Drosophila melanogaster: one gene and its partner. The protein of the gene in region 1 interacts with the protein of each later gene in a pairwise test. Each region holds a gene or a part of one and is shown on either strand. Other genes may lie near its edges. The genes, in order: awd and Vhl.

What was found.
Region 2: the proteins of awd (region 1) and Vhl interact in a two-hybrid assay, tested with the Drosophila melanogaster proteins (one study listed by BioGRID).

Annotation. Positions count from the first base shown.
Region 1 is NT_033777.3:31,744,364-31,747,662, forward strand, and holds awd (abnormal wing discs), read right to left. Parts: upstream 1,715-3,299; 5' UTR 1,581-1,714; coding exon 1,407-1,580; intron 1,228-1,406; coding exon 895-1,227; 3' UTR 809-894; downstream 1-808. Other genes in the region: CG1896 (uncharacterized protein), read left to right, coding at 1-575, 638-758; nero, read right to left, coding at 2,204-3,112. UniProt on the Drosophila melanogaster protein: Major role in the synthesis of nucleoside triphosphates other than ATP. The ATP gamma phosphate is transferred to the NDP beta phosphate via a ping-pong mechanism, using a phosphorylated active-site intermediate.
Region 2 is NT_033778.4:11,277,983-11,281,634, forward strand, and holds Vhl (von Hippel-Lindau), read left to right. Parts: upstream 1-1,742; 5' UTR 1,743-1,895; coding exon 1,896-2,432; 3' UTR 2,433-3,051; downstream 3,052-3,652. Other genes in the region: Cpr47Eg (cuticular protein 47Eg), read right to left, coding at 3-344, 413-424; CG9067 (uncharacterized protein), read right to left, coding at 954-999, 1,064-1,143, 1,209-1,296, 1,357-1,526, 1,581-1,613; CG9062 (uncharacterized protein), read right to left, coding at 3,125-3,168, 3,292-3,397, 3,456-3,650. UniProt on the Drosophila melanogaster protein: Involved in development of tracheal vasculature. Probably involved in halting cell migration at the end of vascular tube outgrowth.

The DNA of each region.
Region 1 (3,299 bases):
AAGATTCAGCAAGTTATATCGAGTTTGGGGCAACTGGAGCAACAGAGCTGTGGAGCAGGTCGCGATTTCGATGTGCACCGGGCGGAGGAGCTGCAGCGGAGCACGGCAACCCTGCTGGATGAACTTGACCAAGTACCGGGCCAACAAGTAGTCGACGAACAAAAACAAAGAAAACGCCGGCGACGCTTATATAGACGAAGCCAACATCGGGTGATACGTGCAACCGTCAAATCTGAGGCTGCAGAACAGAAGTTCTCCATAGAACCGCCCCGAAATACCGCACTGGAACAAGCGAAGCACATATCCCTGCGAAAACAACGCGATGCTGCCTCCATTTTGGAGACCTTTGATCTTCTGGAGAAACTTTGCGAGTCTCGTGGAGGAGACAGAGCCGCCCTTTGCCAAAAACTGACCCACATGCGTCTTGTTTGGCGCAGAGTCCAAGAAGAGACTCAAGCTGGCCATGTCAAGGAGTCCAAGAAGGTGGCTTCACTTGAATCTCAATGGAAGGCTGTGTTCTTCGGCCGATCCTTGCCAACTCCCAAATTAAATAAGGGGAAATTTCTTGAAATTCGGTATGTCTAGGGAAATGCATTGTCCGGCGGGAGCTCCCTTTTAATTGCATCGCTTTTTCCAGCTCCACATGGGATTCTTACATAAGCTACTGTGGAAGAGGCTCCTCTATACCCAGAGGATGGGTGCTACCGCCAACAAAGCCTACAGCTCAGTGGATAGGCTATCGACTATCCTTAACTTAATATCATAGAAACCTTTCCAAAGCTCACACTCCTTATAAAGAAGCAAGATTATATAGTAATTATTGTGGAATTTTATTTCTTTAGAAGAATCAATCTGTATTCAGCTTAGACGAGGGCAGACAGTTAAAGTAGCCGTCTATTCGTAGATCCAGTCCTTGGCGGCCGGGGTCCAGGTGACCAGCTCCTTTTCGTTGAACCACAGGGCGATCTCCTTCTCGGCAGACTCGACGGCATCGGAGCCGTGGATGATGTTGCGTCCGACCTGAATGCAGAAGTCACCGCGGATGGTGCCGGGCAGCGAGTCGGCGGGGTTGGTGGCGCCGAGCATCTGGCGACCGGTCTTGACCACATTCAGACCCTCCCACACCATGGGCACCACGGGGCCGGAGTTCATGTAGTTCACGAGTCCGGGGAAGAAGGGGCGGGCGGACAGATCAGCGTAGTGCTTCTCCAGCAGCTCCTTGGAGGCCTGGTTACAAAACGGTTCGTTATCAGTTAATTGCAGTTCTGACCTCTAAACACATGTCATTCCGCGATGACGCCTGCACCCAGCCTTTGAGGTTAGGTCCGATGGCAACCCCGCGTGGGGCAACCCGTTTCCACGTATTTATATCTATTGATTTCTTCCTAATTCAATTATCCGCTTACCCAGGTGAACTTCAGGGCGACCAGCTTGAAGCCCTTCTGCTCGAAGCGCTCGATGATCTTGCCGACGAGCCCGCGCTGGACGCCATCGGGCTTGACCATGATGAAAGTCCTCTCCTTGTTAGCCGCCATTGTCGCCGAGATTACAGAAAAGAATGCCAAAATTGTGCCGAGCATCAGGAGCTTCATGTGTTCGCCGTTGCAAAAAAATCCCGAATACGAAATGCCGGCAAGGTGAATTGTGGGAAATCGTCAAGTGGTCACACTGGGCAGCCAGCCGCGTTCTTGAGTTTTTGTTTTTGTTGGGCGATTTAAAGGATAGGAAAATACTTGTTATTTAAATTCCAAAGCGGAAATTTGAGTGCATTGCTAAAGTATTCATATTTTTTTCAGTTTATAACCGCTCAAATGGGGCTGCCATGTCGCCTTGTACTTTGAATTTCAGAATGTATTCTGAATGCATTTCATCGAATAATTTAAAGCAAAAATAACGAAAACTCAATAGTATTATTTTTAATTACTAGACACATTAAAACATTTAAAAAAAAACAAAGAGTTGCCCACAGTTGATGATAAAATGCCCGTCAAACTAGGATAGTTACTAGGCACTCATTAGCATCAGCATTCCCACCAGTTGATTCATCCATCCAGCAGGTTAATCAAAAACCACAGGGAAGTCACGTTCAAATTTCTTTTTATGTCTCGATAAGATTAGGTCCATGTGATCACAGAAGTGACAAAACAATACAAGTTTACGACTAATATATACACAGCTGGTAGATGCAAATGTTCGGCGAAAATCACTTGGTCGCGTCTAGTTTGGCTAGGCCGTCGGCATATTGGAACTCCGGACTGTTCTCGTACTCGCACATGTCCAGGGCGATGACGCAGCTCTCCTTGACCACGCGCTTGTCGTCCTCGGCGTAGCGGTTCAAGATCTGAATGCAGTCCTCTGTGGCGATGGCGCCAAGGGCCTCGGCACACTCGTGACGCACCATTTCGTTTTCCAGGCGATCCTCCAGATTCTCTTGAAGGAAGGGAATGCTGCAGGGTTCTTGCAGCTGGCCCAGTACGAAGGCCACCTCGTGGCGGAAGAGGGCGGAAGAGTCCTTAAGTCCCTCGGCAATGGCCAAGACACTCTCTTCGGTGCGCAGATTGCGCAGGCTGAACATGGCCCTATATCGATCGAACAGGCTCTGCTGGGCATCCAGATAGATGGCCTTCAGCTCGGTGACGCTCTTGTCGCCCGCAGTTGGCGGTGAGGGATCAACGGAGGCGTAAGGGTTGCTGTCATCTACCTTTTGGCCACTCTGCAGCCAGCGGACGCGGTCCAGAGCAATGGCACATGTTTCGGCCACCTCCACTACCGGATCTTGTTTGTACTCCTCCAGAATTGGCAGCACATCTGGATGACCAATGGCGCCCATGGCCTCCGCAGCCTCGTGGCGCACCATCGGCTCCTGGGTGGTGTCCTTTAGCACCTTGGTGAGGATGTCTAACGCCTGTGCGTCCTGCATCTGACCCAAGCAGTAGGCCAGCTCATGTTTGAGAAGGGCCGAATCATCGTCAAAGGCTTTGCTGATCGCCTCGATGGCCGCTCCTCCGCCGATGTTCTTCAGCGTGAAGAGGGCTCGAAAGCGCTCTTTCAGTGGGCGTTCCTTGTTGTTCAGAACGCCTCCAATGGCCTCGATTTGCTGCTGCGAAACCATTTGTATGCGGTGTGGACTTATAAATAAAAAACTGCAACGGGCCGCGTGTGGTGTCGCAATGTGGCCATACACTCAGTACTTGGTAATACCAAAACTACAAGTAATCGATATGACGTGGCTATCGATGGACTATGAGTCGATGAAACGGCGCTGCCAACGCGTTTAGAGTACAAATTGTGCAGCACTA
Region 2 (3,652 bases), on another chromosome or scaffold:
ATTTATTGACTTGGGGGGTGGGCGGCGATGTACTCCAGAGAACGCTGGATGGCCTCTGGAATTGGTGGTGGGGTGGGCAGAGGAGGGTTGGCAGACACCACCTGGTAACCGTTGGCATCGGCGATATATTGGATGGACACTGGCACATTTTCGGGAGATGTCCACGACTGGCTTCCCTTCACCACCCACTCTTCGCCGTTAAGGTCACCCTTCTGTTGCACATTGACAGAGTTGTCCAGCTCAACAGCGTAAGCAAAGCCGTCAACATTCACTTGCTGCTCGGCACGGAGAACATTGGCATCTTCGTTGGCGAGGGCGACGGCCAACAGGCAGGCGAAAGCAATCTACAAGGATTGTAAATAACAAATCAGCTAGAATCATTAAAGGATCAATTTGCGATAAAGCCACTTACGAAGAACTTCATGTTGATTGTTGAAAGACTTGAGAAGGCTAACTGATATCGAACTGGAACTTCTGCCTGCTTTTTATATGATACTGATGCTCAGCTTACCTCTGCCGGTGGCGCCCAAGTTCAAGTCTAGAGACGCGTAGGATTTGATTTCATTAATTATGCATTAGATAAGACAAAATACATGTTTATGTGTGCCTCGTTATTGCCGTTCAGTTAAAGTTCGCATTGAATCCCATAATAATGCCCGAAACAGACGGAAGACGAGTTTGACGCGGAGACATTAACTAACTATGTGTCAACTAGCAGACACATTGTAAAGATATAATTAATTCTCGAATTATTTTTGTCAAAAATGTCGAATTAGCATAATATTTGGCTACGGCTAGCCAGCCAACGACCGGTTTGCGTATCTCCGGTGCGTATCTCTCTTGAGTCTAGCTTGGAGCGGGCACTTGGCCAGGCCACCTTGACATCCCTCCTAGAAAGACGTATGCATTTGATAAATAATTCGCTTTATTATTCGTTCAGTATTAATCTACAGCTAGGCAGTGCCGCTCATCAGTTTCTGGACAGCGCGATCGAACTTCCTGCAGATATAAAAGTAACGTATTAAGAGCAACTTATATATTCTTTAAGGAGAAGCCCGCTTACTTTGAAGTCAGCGATTCGCCGGGAATGTAAAAGGGATTGCAGATGGCATCGGTGTAGAGCAAGTGGAGATTTCGGAAGATCTGGAAGATACAGAGGGTAGGAGGTATTTGGGGCTTTCATTTAGATAGTTAGATTGGATACCCACTGCTCGAACTTCGTTTTCCCGAAGGGCAACGTTGCTGGAGTCGATGACCACTATGAATTTCACCCGAGTGTTGGTCACAAAGCCGTATCTGTAATGAAATCAACCACCAATCAGTTGCAAATTCACCAGCATAACTACACCCAAGTACATTTTGTGGTTCTCTGTCGAGTAGAGCAGTCCCAGGTACAGCTCCTTGGACTCCGGAGCACCCTTGCCAATCAGGCACTTCTCCTCCACGACGTCTAAGGCGGCGTTAACATGATATTGCAATTCCAGTTCCTGCTCCATATCGGATGTGGTCAGGTACAGGGGGGCGTTCTGTGGGGAATTTGTCATGCAATTAATTGTATTCAAATGAAAAATAAAACTCACATCCTTGCCAATAACTGCTATGCAAAATGCCATATTTTGTTATTTCTTGGTGTTTATTTGTTTACTTTTCGCGAGAGGCGGAGGCAAATCAGCTGATTTACCCCTTATCGATAAGACATTCATCGAAAGTGTGGCCAGCTGCAGTGACACGCAGCAGGAAAAATGTTACCGTAACTGATAAGAAGTGAATTTTATCTATACTTGTTGTTAGCTTGTTGTGATTTGATTCAATCCAATTCCCACGGCTTGTGCAAACGTAAAACAACGAAAATTGATTTGGCAGCCATTGCAGATCGGCTTAGCACCCTGCTGGAGATGGCGCTCCAAATAGCGCAGAACAACCGCGACGGCCAGCAGCTGGTGGGCGCTGATCAGGGAAAGGTGGAGGTGTACGTGCTGTTTGCAAACACCACCTATCGCACCCTGGATCTGTACTGGGTGTGCGAGCGGGAGCGGGAGAACATGTACCTTACCCTCAAGCCCTTCGAGGAGGTGCGGGTGAACACGTTCACCACACACAGCTGGCTGTTCCGGGATTACTACACGGGCGAACGGATGCACGTACGCTCGCAGAGGATCTTTCAGCCGATTCGGGTGCGGGTACCCAAGAGCCAGCAGAGTCCGGATCAGCTGGTTGACGTACGCAGCGAAGTGCTGATCCACTTTCCGATGAGATCGCTGCGCGAAAACTGCCTCTGGCTGGTCGCCCGCTGGCTGATCCGGACGAGCAACGCGCCACGGAGGATTATCCACGGATACCACATACCCTCGACGCTGAAGCAACAGCTGCTCAGCCTGCTGACCTGCATCGAGTCCTATTCCCGAGTGGCGGGCACGCGACGTCGGCGTTAGGAGCACACTCCTAGTTGTTAGTTAAGAGGGCGGGTAATCATCTTAGGGACTGAGAGACAGGCTTGATTTCCAAATAATTTAATAACTTTAATTGATTTCCATCCTGGTTTTCGATTTTCGCTTATTACTTATGTACAAATTGGCTTGCATAGAGCTCTTTACAAGTTGGGCTACTACCATTGCATTGATTTTTCTGTATATTTAACAGATTTCTTATACCTATGTATGTTCTATGTAAATAATTATGTATAAACCTAATGTGAAACAAGTGTGAATATTACATACATACATATATGCGCAATACTCTAGGTCTAGTTGCTTCAGATGCAAATACGATTTAATGGTATGTCTGCAGTTACTCCTTTGCAATGCTTATCTACGTGTGTCGCAAGCCTAATTGTTATAAGTCTGAATCTGAAGTACATATTTATTCCTAACGAGAAGTGAACAAACAAAAGTACTCCGGTGCACTTTTAAATTTAAAGTTAACGCTCGTACAGATTCTCCTTGAATGTGTTTGTGTTTGTCCACGAGTCGAGTCGAGAAGAGATGAGACGAATCGCAGGTTAACTCAAATATATTGCAAAATCAACTTATAAAAATATAAATTGTTAATCGATCTGCTCAATCTCGTTCTCATTCAATAATGCATCGGTACTGCTTCGGTTAGGCGGGAGATCACTTGCCAGCGTTCAATACTTGCGCGTCACGCGCTCCAAGCTATCCCCGATCGAACCTATGGGGCGGATATATATAAGCACAACTCTCGGTTAGGCAATAGCAATTGCAGAAATCAAGTATGCGTTGTGTTTGTGATAGGTGTTCTTGTGTTGTTCAATGCGTGGGCTCTCTTATTTACCATCGTAGTTGAAATTCTGTTTGGTCTTGTACTGAAACGTTAGATCGGTCGACTGCTTCCAGATAAAGTGGCGCACCGTGCGCAGGTCCATGTTGGGGTCCACAACCTTTAAAGGAAAGGCGGTGAACAAGGTCCTTTAAATGAGATTTGTCCATTTGTCTTACCACATCGTTACACCACAGTTCAATTCGTTCCTCAGCTGGCAGTTGGGATCCCTCCGAATTAGCATCGCTCTGGCTATTCTGCAGTGAATTGTTAGCATTGCCCCCACTTGGGGTAGTTTCCGCATTCAGCACCTTTTCAAGCACGTGCTCGCAGACCTTGCGACACTGAATAAATTCATTAGCCACAAGACGATCCT